Linked DNA regions of Macaca fascicularis. The protein of the gene in region 1 binds, or shares a complex with, the protein of each later gene. Links are inferred from orthologs where the notes say so. Each region holds a gene or a part of one and is shown on either strand. Other genes may lie near its edges. The genes, in order: S1PR1 and CD69.

Region 1 (6,241 bases):
GCTTCAATGGATATGAAATGGTAACACATTTCATTGAAAAGGTGTTTTTTAAAGAAATCAAAGTGACTTCAACCAAATTCCAAAAAACGGATCCCGCTTACATGGAAACTTTGGCCTCAGCGAAGGACATTGTTTTACACCTCCAAACCATCTTCATCTTCCCACAGCCTACCTACTCAACATAGCCTATTTGCTATAGATGATCGATCACTCCACATCCCCAGCTCTGATAACTCTCAGGTAGTTAAAGTATAAAGTAAAAGAACTTTGAGGAGCGGTATGAAGGGAAGGGAGGGTGGGGTGTGGGATGTACAGGGCATCCCTAAAGAAGCAGAAGTGCACACACTCACTTGGGTTTGAAACTAAAGTGAAAGAAAGCATCTCCTCAAAGCTCCAGACAAAGAGACGCTTTCACATGGGGACATTAGTCTTTGAGGAGGGGCCAAATGAACCCTTTAGGAGCTTGACAATGCTAGACCTTTGGCTCAGTGCAAAATCAAAGCTCCAGGGGGGGAGGAAATATATTCCAGGCCGGGACCTGATCTCCACCCTTCCCAGTGCATTGTTCACAGGAACTAACTCTACCCACCAACACCCGACACCACCAGGCTGTTCATATTCTCCCCCTTCCTCCCTCTGGCTTGCAGCAGCTCCTCCCTGGCAGCAGTCGAAGCCCAGAGATTGTTTTCCAAACACTGGGGTGGCGAGCGACCAAGTAAAGAGCTCTTCCGGTGGGTGGACAGCTTCCAGTTCTAGGAAGAAGAGTTGACGTTTCCAGAAGACATAATGGTCTCTGGGTTGTCCCCATCGTCCTTCTGGGGGTGGGAGGAATTGTCCGATTTGCTGCGGCTGAATTCCATGCCGGCGATGATGGGTCGTTTGAATTTGCCAGCAGAGTCTCCGCTCGGGCACTTGCAGCAGGACATGATCCGGATGAAGGCCCGGCGCATCTCCTTGTTGGTCAGAGTGTAAATGATGGGGTTGGTGCCGGAGTTGAGCACAGCTAACACCAGGAAGTACTCCGCTCTGAAGAGGATGTCGCAGGTCTTCACCTTGCAGCCCACATCCAGCAGGAGCAGGATGAAGAGCGGTGCCCAGCAGGCGATGAAGACGCTCAGGACGATAATTACGGTCTTGAGCAGCGCCAGCGACTTCTCAGAGCTGCGGCTGGCCTTGGACATGTTCTTGCGGAACGTCAGGCGGCGGCTTCGAGTCCTGACCAAGGAGTAGATCCTGCAGTACAGAATGACGATGGAGAGCAGGAGCAGAGTGAAGACCGTGGTGCAGAAGAGGATATAGTGCTTGTGGTAGAGCGGCAGCACAGTGGAGCAGCTGGGCAGCGCGCTGATGCAGTTCCAGCCCATGATGGGCAGGCCACCCAGGATGAGGGAGATGACCCAGCAGGCGCTGATCAGCAGGAAGAGGCGGAAGTTATTGCTCCCGTTGTGGAGTTTCATTTTCAGCATCGTGATATAGCGCTCAATGGCGATGGCGAGGAGACTGAACACGGAGGCTGACAGGGCCACAAACATACTCCCTTCCCGCAGAAACCACTGGGCGGGAGTGAGCTTGTAGGTGGTGGCCCCAGACAAGAGCAGGTTAGCTGTGTAGGCCACTCCTGCCAACAGGTCTGAGAGGGCCAGATTGCCAATAAAATAGTACATGGGTCGGTGGAATTTCTTGGTTTTCCAAATAGTCAGCAAGACAAAGATGTTCTCGAGGATGATAAAGCAGCAGATAAGAATGAACACCACCGAGGTCAGTTTAATGCTGTTCTCCCTGTCCGCGCTGGTATTCAGCTTTCCCGTGTAGTTGTAATGCCGGACAATAATATCATAGTTGACGTAGTCAGAGACCGAGCTGCGGAGGGCCTTGACCAGCGGGACGCTGGTGGACCCCATGGTGCCAACCCTGTGTCCCCAGGAAGTCGGGGTGGCGTTACTCCAGACGAACGCTAGAGGGCAGGGCGAGAGAGCCTTCACTGGCTGCAGGGGTGGTTCGATGAGTGATCCAGGCTTTTTGTGTAGCTTTTCCTTGGCTGGAGAGGGCCTCGGAAACCGCAGCCTTAAACAAGTCAGAGGAGAGAGTCAGGGAAAGAGCCACAGCATACTGGCATAATTCATTCTAGCTAAGGCACTGCTCCAATTGTGTTACTGTTGATTTGTTTTAAAGAAACTTGGGAAGAGCTCAGGGAGAGAGAATTTTTTTAAAAAATCACTGCTCCTACTCCTGTAGGTTCCACAATTGGGAATTCACCTTTTTTCCAAACTCCATAAATCACAAGTGCCCAAGAACAATCTGATTGAGTTGGGCTCCTTAGTAGCCCAGAGATGCAAATTTTCAGCGCCCAGAGAGATTAAAAAAAAAAAAAAAATCTTTTTTTCTTCCCTTTTTTTTTTTTTTTTTCCAAAAAAGGAAGAGGGGGAAGAAAAAGAGGGAGAAACTCTATGGCCACATTCACTCAAAGAGAAGTGGGAATTATGATGTTGGCTGTGGGTTGACCAAAACAAAAACAAAAACAAACAAACAAAAAAGAAGATGGAAAACAAGGAGTGGGGGGAATGGGAAACCTAGAGAGCACACCCCATTTTAACCCCACTCCTGCCCTCTCGCCACCCCCCACCCTCCCACCCCCGTATTTCCAGCCATGAAATTGTCTGAAGCAGTCACCAGCTCAGCTGCACGCTCAACACCAGCCCACGTCTCTCCTCGGAAAAGACTAGACTGCCAGTCTGAGGGTAGAGACACACACCTCTGTTCCCCATGCCCACCCCTAGCTCCCCTGTTCAAAGAGACGAGCACCACCTCCTAATTGCCATGCAAGAAATCAGATTTGCAGGAAAATCACTTGAAAGCGTAAGTCATTTGGGGGCTCTATTAATAACTCTCTAGGAGCAGGTGTGCCTAGGGTCGGAGGGCGCAGTGAGGTGTGGGCAGCCAGGCCCGCCCCGCCTTGCAGTAAACAGGAAAGCTTAGCGCCTCCGTGAAGCGACTGCCTTTTCTTTCTTCTTCTTCTTCTTCTCCCCGCCTCCCCCGCCCAACCGCCCCCAAGCCAGGGCAAGTAAATTTAAAGGTATTCAGTTAAAACCATTCATAACAGATTGCAGCAAATCCCAGAAGTTTCGTACACTAGTTGATCGCATAAATATTTTTTGCTTTGTTTAGTTTAGCCAAAACATACACAAAAGAGAGAAATCAAACTACTCATGACAGCAATAATACATGCTACCACATTTTTAATTTCGAGCGCAAAACTACTCTTCAGAAACTCACATTAAACTGCTCCCTGGTGCATTGCTAAATTTGCGTGGGCAGTTTTATTTACTGCCGTCCCCCAACACGTTGACTCCTCTCCTAGGACTAGAAAGTTACAAACAAACTAACTTTCTAAGACCGCACTGGTCAGCAGAAGTCTACTTCTAAGTTGCTTAAATATTTCAAGGTAATTCAGCAGTGCAATAAAATGAGGTAATAGAGATGAGAGCAATCCCAGCAACTCCGCGAACAGCAGAGGCTGCTCAAGCCAAGAAGCTCCACATTTCCCCCAACTAATTTTATACCCTGCTCCTGGGCAGTACTAGTTTAAGCCATTACCTACGCCCCACACCACCCACCATATTCTTTGTCTATAGGATTTCCAAAATTTAGCACCTTCCCTACTACTCCTCCGACCAACCGCAGCTTTCACTGCCCCTACCCCCATAGGTTCCACAGTTGGGAATTAACCTTTTTTTCCAAACTCCGTAAATCACAAGTACCCAAGAAAAATCCGATCGAGTTGGGCTCCTTAGTAGCCCACAGATGCAAATTTTCAGCGCCCAGAGATGCATGTTTTCAAAGTTTTTGTTTGCCTCGTTCGGCTTAAAAATTCGTTTCTGACACCTAAGCCCTACCACAGCCGGGCTCCCCGCGCCCGCAGTCCCCCGCCACTCGCCGCCCCCTACCTCGCTCAAGCAGGGCGAAGTTGCGTTCGGAGAGCCCGGGATCTGTACGGCTCGCTCCGCATCTTGCTGCTGCCCCCGACTGACTGCGTAGTGCTCTCGCAAACTTACTCGAGTCGGGGTCCCCTCCCTCCGCAGCGGAGCACTCCAATGGCCAGTCCCGCTCGCCGCGGCCAGTTCCCTGCCTGCTACGCGAAGTCACCCAGCGCCGCGCCAAGGCTGGGTGGTTTCTTCAGGAAGACGCTGGGAGGGGTTAATGCCTTAACCCCCCACGCCCTCTGCCAGCTAGGGGCCCCCGGATCTGAACTGCTGAGAAGCACTGTCCAGGAAAGATCTGGGGCAGAAGCAAAAAAAAAAAAAAAAAAAAAAAAAAAAAGAACTCCTCCTCCGCAAACAACAAATGAAAGAAAAAAGAGAGAGAGAGAGAGAGAGAGAGAAGGGGCGGAGCCCGGTAACCCCTGGATTCTAATGTATAAATCACTGCCCTCGCCCAGATGCACGCTGATCCCTGGCGGTGGAGAGGATTCTCCCGAGCCCCTGAAAAAAAAGGAGGTGGAGAGACTTGGGAAACTTTTCTCTCGAAAAGTCTGAAGGGGCAGAGGACGGCCCGGAGTCTCGTAGCGCACCGCCCTGGTCCCACACCCCCCGCAGCCCTAGGAGGATCGGTGTGCTTAGCTTGTGACCAGGAGCTCCCCGAGCCACTTTCACGCGGGCAGCAGAAAACCAGAGCCGCGGCCCGGCGAGTCTCGGCGGCGCTCTGGGGAGGAGACGCTGGGAAGGGGCTGCGAGAAGTACAGAGGAAACAAGCAGCCCGGGAGGGAGAATGGACCGGGAGGTTCCTGTTCTCCCCGCGCCACCCCAGATCCTGGTGCTCCTCGAAACTGCGGTCTGAGAGGGCAGTGGATTTCCCGGAGTGCACAGAGAAATGAACCAGCGCCGGTTTTGGTGTTGGGCAAGGGGTTTCCCTCAGCTGAGCGCAAAGTCAGACTGTGTGTCCCAGATTCTGGCCAATGGAGAGGTCGTTGAGGAGGTGGGCTGCTGCCGAGTCCTGAGAGATTCAAAACGCCTGGGCAGCTCCGGAATTTCCGAAGGGGAAGATTCTCGGCCCCGCGATGCGGAGCAACTGCAGCTGCCCAGCAGGGGCCGGCACCCTTCTCTCACTTTCTGCTTGAGAGTCGACTCAGAGGCCTCAAATCTCATTACTAGCAACCTGCCCACCCTTTTCTTTTGCTTAGATGCTACTTAAGAACGTGAGGCTGAGAGGCGGCCTTGGTCAGATCTGCCTGCGTGACAAGCTCAGGAGGCTTCTGCCCTTGCCCTACTGTTGTAAAGGTTTCCACCCAGTCCCTGGTCGCACTGCTTTCCCATCCCGGCAGATGTGAACTCAAAAACTTCCTCCGCTGTGCAGTTTCAATTGGCAGACACACCCTGTACCTGAATGACTCAGAAGGAGGCAGAATGAATAAACAACAGACCCCTGACTTCTGGGATTTTGTGAGTTTGCCAAAAAAAAAAAAGAAGTGACAGTTAATTCACAGCTGTTTTAAAGCACTCATCAACGGCGATGCACCCAATACATACCCACAACTTCAGTAACAGTACAGTGCATATAATGTGGAAACTAAGATAACGGTCCTCTAAGACTCCAGAGTAGATCCTAATTGGATTTGAGGACTTATTTCACTTAAAGGGGAAAAGATACATTGTATCTACCCAGCACAACAAAACGGGGGACTTGGCATTTCCCCCTTCACCTGCCCCCACCCACATTAATTTATGCATTCTTTAAAGCCAAAGGAATCAAAGTGAAATTTCACACCTAGTCTGTATCAAGCATGTGCTAGGTTAATTTAACCTTACTGTTCTGTGAAGTAAGCAAGCATTCCTGGCCATTTTATTGTTGAGAGAAGTGTCACTCAGACAACTAAGGTGACTTGTAGATTTTCCAGCTAGTGAGTGGCAGAGCTGGGTTCCAAAACCTAAATACTGCAAATGCCTTGCCTTGTGGCTCAAACGCTATCAGTCAATAAACAGTTAAGGAATTGAGATATATGTTCTTAGAGGGAAACAGACTTCTAGATTTAAAGTTTCACATTTGCATGCATTTCTGACTGTACGTGTCTACAAAATTCATAGAAAAGTATGCTAATGAATGTCCTTTTCAAATCACTCGTTTTCTACATATGCATACAAAGTGTATACACATGCATATTAATGAATGTTTTCTAACACCTCTTATTGTCTGCCTATGATATCTCATGTAACATTGTACTTTTAGTATTTGCACATAGTGTTACACA
Region 2 (6,191 bases), on another chromosome or scaffold:
ATAAAAGGAAAATTTACTTTGAGAAGTTGAGAAAATCGAGCTAGATGGCAGCGAAGTAAAGACTTCTCTTGCAAAATCTGAGTGCAGATCTGTGATGGGAAAAAGAGCTTCCAGATAAAGCAAAAGTTGATGTTGACACCAGTACCCAGTAAATTGCTATGAAAAAAGGCAACATCTCTTGGTCCAGTTTACCTTTAGATAAATGTTTGAAGGATAAAAATACATGTGTTTCAGGATATGTCTTATGTAAACTTTTTTAAGTTATGAAAATCATCCATATTGAAAAATCGAATGTTTTTTATTTTGAAACTGTTTTGCATTGTCAGTTACTCAAGCAGCCATTTTACATTTCAGTGTTTGAGAACATAACACGGACCTGTATACTCCTTGTGGGGCCACATGTTAAGAATCTTAACAGCTCATCCTGCAAAATTAAAATCCAAAATCTAAATCACAAAATTCTCTTTTCTCTTTCCTCAGTTATTTACTTAGACTATAGAACAGATATCCTCCTAGAGTTTTTTGTAACTATCAATTATCATTAACATCATATTCCTATTCTAAATCCTTCCACTGAAACACTACTTGTTGGGGAAAAAAAGGCTTTTACTTTGTTTCACCACTGTACAGAGGGTAAATGAAAAAACTTTCACTGAATATTTGGTCTATAATACTGTTACATTTCCTCTATTATTTTAACATCTTTTGAAAAATTTCTATAAAGAGATGGGGAAATTTCATGTCAGGAGATAGGAAATATTAAATTTAAATGCCTGAAAAGAATATCGCATATTCCTTCTATAGTCTGCCTGAACTCACCGTCAACTTTCTCCCTTCCAGATGACGCCACCAGCCCCCGTTTCTCAACACATCGTGAAGGATCCTTCCAAGTTCCTGTCCTGTGTGCTGTAATGAATGTGGTCTTCATCACCATTTTAATCATAGCTCTCATTGCCTTATCAGGTGGGTCTGCTCGTCATCAATTCTTTCAAAGCCTCCCAGCTGTAAGCATTCATGCCCAGCTGAAATCAAGATTAGTTTAGTCTAGTTAATCAGAAATTGTAGCTAATTTAGAATCATCCCATGTACCATATATGGCCAATTTCCTACTCAATACTAGACATAATTCCACAATCCTCAAATAATTAATGTAATACTTTTATAAGTATTAAAGTATCTATGATTTATATATTACTGTAGAATAAAATTGCATTTGAAAAGACGTTTACATCTAGAATGAAGGGAGCTGATTTGAATTCTGAATAAATAGCTATTTAGCTGGAAAAAAAATGTGAACTTCACATTCATTGATTATGGAAAAAATCGTATCTAAAGTCATAGATTCATCAGGAAATGGTCAGTCTTTTGTGTTTTATCTCAAAGGACACAGAATGGTAGTTCTGAATAATTAAGATTATATTTAAAAGTTCCCAGAGAGTCAGTAGTGATTCGGTATTCGATACCTCCAGCTATACCGAGATATATTTGTGTCTTTTACAAATGGGAATGTTTACCATTTTTTGAGATATTCTCAGCCATATGTCTTTCTGTATTTGAATTGGTTCCCTAAAAGTTACTCTCTTCATCTTTCCAACCTAGTGTTATAAATACTGCATCTTCAAATTCTTCCACCTCTGCATTCAGATTCAAAACCTTATTTGAAATATATAATGTACTTTACCCTTTCTAGTCCAAAGAAATATCTAGTCCAAATTTTCAGAATTTTTCTATATTTCTGTCATTTTCTGACATTATGGCCAAAGGTACATCCCCTCATCCTCATACCTCCATCCAATGACGATTAGGCTCAATGGAAAATCAGATATGGTCCTGAGAACTTTCTTTCTTCATACCCTTTTCAGAATTCTCCTTTTTAGCTTTTATCCTTTACTTTATCACCACCTAGCACGACATAGCATCCTAAGGCTAGTTTTGCATGCTATGGGTATTTCATTTCTTTTGTTACTAAAACAAAGCATTTTTCTGTTCACAGTGGGCCAATACAATTGTCCAGGCCAATACACATTCTCAATGCCATCAGATAGCCATGTTTCTTCATGCTCTGATGACTGGGTTAGCTACCAGAGGAAATGCTACTTTATTTCTACTGTGAAGAGGAGCTGGACTTCAGCCCAAAGTGCTTGTTCTGAACATGGTGCTACTCTCGCTGTCATTGATTCTGTTAAGGACATGGTAAGAATGAAAAAAATGATAAAATATTACTATTTTAATTAATATGGCTAATCAGTGGTTTCCTTCTGTTTCTGAGTGGAAGAAAAAAACAATATTGTACCTATTTCAGATGTAGGAAAATATCACCCCAGAGAACCATATGATCAGCCTGAGGTCAAAATGAGATTTACTCACTTTAGTCTTTTAAATGTGACTTGATTGCTTAGCTTCAAAGACCAGAAATCCAAATATGCTGATCCTATATAGAATGAGTCAATGGTCAGATGAGCTGTCATGCCTCAAGTTGCAGCTTTTGAGAAACAGGATTTACTATCTACTTCCCTAGAAGGGTGTTTAATGTAACAACTCCCTTGTGCTTTCTTTAAGAACTTTCTAAAACGATACGCAGGTGGAGATGAACACTGGGTTGGACTGAAAAAGGAGCCTGGTCACCCATGGAAGTGGTCAAATGGCAAAGAATTTAACAACTGGTAAGTCTCCAGAAGCCTCTGGCGAGCATCTCAGGAAAATCATTTTCCTTTTCTCCTTTCAAAGCACTTTAGATACGAAGGCTGAGCTCTTCAAGAGCTCTAACAATCTCTTCTGAATGCGTATACTCAAATTCTTTAATGACAGCCTTTATTATTATTCTTTTTTCTTTATCCACACTTATAATACATAAAATAAATGCTTATAGTAATTTTTCTCAGCAAACTCTAATGTGAGGAATAGATCTGGTTCATTTGGATATATTCTAATGATAATTATGATGATGCAACAAAACCCCACTTTCAATGTCACATTTAGTCTTTACTAATGAGATAGTTGTTGGAAAATAAATCCCTCTTACTATTTCTCAGTTTTCATCTCCACAGAATAAAGAATAGTTTCAATGCCTAATTATGAATTTCTATAGACCTGAAAGAAAATTTGCCCCAGAATTAGATACTCTATTTTCATTACTTTTAGTTAAAATACATTTAATGTTTGAAGATCATTTTATAAGTTTGTTGTTGATCATAATACTGATAAAGTATCAAGATTAAAATTCAGGTCTCTAGAAAAGAGATTCCTAATATTTGTCCTATGGTTCCATATCGACAGATGGGCTTCAGGAACCATAAACCCCCTAAAGCTGTATGCACTAGTATGCCTGGCTGTTGGATGCATATAATTTTGTGAAATTATTTATTGAAAAATCTATGAACTCAAAAATGACCAAGAATCACTTCTCTGGTGCCATGCCAGCCAAATGAATGGCGTGCTTTCCTCTTACCTCCATATTTTTTTTCCACATACTTTTGTTTTCAATTCTTGTCCATTGTCTCTACAAATTAGTCTATGATTATTTGACTTATGTATCCTGCTGAGAATTTAAAAGAAGCAGAGGTCACCATCTTGAGTTCATTCTCATGTAACTGAATGAAAACAATGAGCTGAAAATAATTGTAAGTTTCTTTATTGTTTGACAGGTTCAACTTGACAGGGTCTGAGAAGTGCGCTTTTCTGAAAAACACGGAAGTCAGCAGCATGGAATGTGAGAAGAATTTATACTGGATATGTAACAAACCTTACAAATCATAAGGAAACATATTCACTTATTGACTATTGTAGAATGGAACTCAAGGAAATCTGTGTCAATGGATGCTGCTCTGTGGTCTGAAGTTTTCCATGCAGACTTTGTGAAAAAAAAAAAATTTTTTGTAGTATCTTGGGAATTTTCTTCCAAACAGAACTATGGAAAAAAGGAAGAAATTCCCGGAAAAATCTTCATTGTGGGCTCTTGTTGCCATGAGCAGGAAGCATAACAGGTTGACTGATAACCATGCCCAAGAATGAGAAGAATGACTATGAAACCTTTGGATGCACTTTATATTATTTTGAATCCAGAAATAATGAAATAACTAGGCATGGACTTACTATTTATTGCTGAATGACTACCAACAGTGAGAGCGCTTCATGCCTTTGCACTATTGGAAGGAGTTAGATGTTGGTACTAGATACTGAATGTAAACAAAGGAATTATGGCTGGTAACATACATATTTAGTCATTGAATCCCTTAAACTCAGGGAGCATTTATAAATGGACAAATGCTTATGAAACTAAGATTTGTGATATTTCTCTCTTTTTAGAGAAATTTGCCAATTTACTTTGTTATTTTTCCCCAAAAAGAATGGGATGATCATGTATTTATTTTTTTACTTCCTCAGCCATAGACTGGTCCTTTTCGATGGTACATATTTCTTTACCTTTATAATCTTTTATACATTGTTTTACAGAGAAAAGACATAAGCAAAGAGTATGAGGAATATTTGTAAAACCTAGAAAAGTGTTGGAAAATGTGCAATATGTGATGTGGCAAATCTCTATCAGGAAATATTCTGTAATGTTCAAACCTAGAATAATACTAGTCTTATAATAGGTTTGTGACTTTCCTAATCAATTCTATTATGTGCAATACTTCAATACTTCTTTTAAAATATTTTTATGTGCAATAAAATGTATTTGTTTGTATTTTGTGTTCAGTACAATTATAAGCTGTTTTCATGTATGTGAAATAAAAGTAGAATAAACACAATGGTTTCCAAGAAAGTTCATTCCTTCAAAATACATTTAAAAGTATATACTGTATGAGAAAGAAGAAAACAGAGTACTATAACTTAGAAAAAAATCCCATCTAGGGTAAAACTCTTAGTTTTACAACAGCTTATACATATCAAATTGTTTTCATATATGCTAAAGGGTGTATGTATGCATATTCATTTTTCTGTGTATAGAAGATGCTCAGTAATAATTACTCCTCATAGTCAATGCTCTGAAAGTATCCTGTTCAATTCTGAAGTGCTATATACACTTTAGTTATTTACGTAAAATAATTCAATACATAGAAATGAGGCATAATCTTCATGGGATATTTCAATCAGCAAAAAACTTGATGATGTAGCTTGGATGTGTGTCCCTGCCCAAATCTCATGTTGTATGGTAATCCCCTTTGTTAGGGTGGGGCCTGGTGGGAGGCGATGACATCATGAGAGCGAATTTCTCATGAATGGTTTAGCATCATCCTCTTGGTGGTCTCCTTGCAACAGTGAGTGAGTTCTCAGGAGATCCGGTCTTTTAAAAGTGTGCAGCACTCTCTCTCTCTCTTTGTCTCCCTCTCTTTCCTGCTTTCTCCATGTGACATGCCTGCTCCCACTCCACTTCACCTTCTACCATAAGAGCACCCCTAAGCTTCCACAGAAGCTGAGCAGTGTCAGTGTTATGCTTGTAAAAACTGCAGAACCGTAAGCCAATTAAGCCTTTTTTCTTTATAAATTACCTTGTCTCAGATATATTCATAGCAATGCAAGAATAGCCTAATACATTCGATTACCTTCAAAACTGTTTTATAAATGTAATTTGCAATATTCTTCTCTGCCTGTTGGAAATGTGTGATGTGTATGGTATCTCTAAACTATTGACAGATGGCAAACGGAAATGTGGATTTCAGACACTGCTTAGTGAAAAATAACGACCTCTGCGCTCCTGAATTCCCACAGCTGTGGGAAAAAAATGAAACAAGCAGCTTCCTAGCTCTAATAGTCTATCGTTAAGAACAATCTACTCCCGAGTCATCTTAGAAAACAATGTCTTGTGATTAATATTTTAGTTATAACATATTTTTATGTGCATAAAATCTAATCAAATTATGAAAACTGAGCAAGCTTAAAAATATTATTTCTATATTAGTATGATAGTTTTTAACTCATTGAATACTGACTGTATCACCTAAAAATTCAATGAATTTTATCATTTTTAAAAATAATTTTATTGAATCCCTATAATTATGTGAAATGACCAGCTAACGTGCTTCCCTCTCCAGAGGAAGAAATTGAAATTATGTTGAAAAAGCAATGGATAAAACACGGATAACTGCGAGTTATTTTTTTACACATAATTTGAAGTCATTTTATTCTTAAGGACCACTGCTTTCTTTAAATAGATTTAAAAAATAGAATTCTTAAAGGGAATAATTTTA

Evidence for each region.
Region 2: the proteins of S1PR1 (region 1) and CD69 are in contact, whole or in part, in a cryo-EM structure (PDB 8G94), measured with the Homo sapiens proteins. The link is inferred for Macaca fascicularis from reciprocal best matches to the Homo sapiens genes S1PR1 and CD69. Residues at the interface, in NP_001307659.1 of Homo sapiens: Asn157, Leu160, Phe161, Ile164, Ser165, Trp168, Val169, Leu172, Ile173, Gly176, Ile179, Met180, Gly181; in NP_001772.1 of Homo sapiens: Val41, Ala44, Val45, Val48, Val49, Thr52, Ile53, Ile56, Ile59, Ala60, Val63.

Annotation. Positions count from the first base shown.
Region 1 is NC_088375.1:133,171,305-133,177,545, forward strand, and holds the start of S1PR1 (sphingosine 1-phosphate receptor 1), read right to left. Parts: upstream 4,146-6,241; 5' UTR 4,053-4,145; exon of another isoform or gene 3,945-4,052; intron 2,065-3,944; 5' UTR 1,902-2,064; coding exon 753-1,901; 3' UTR 1-752.
Region 2 is NC_088385.1:11,127,240-11,133,430, forward strand, and holds the end of CD69 (early activation antigen CD69), read left to right. Parts: intron 1-840; coding exon 841-963; intron 964-1,993; coding exon 1,994-2,193; intron 2,194-2,559; coding exon 2,560-2,663; intron 2,664-3,644; coding exon 3,645-3,756; 3' UTR 3,757-4,751; downstream 4,752-6,191. UniProt on the Homo sapiens protein: Transmembrane protein expressed mainly on T-cells resident in mucosa that plays an essential role in immune cell homeostasis.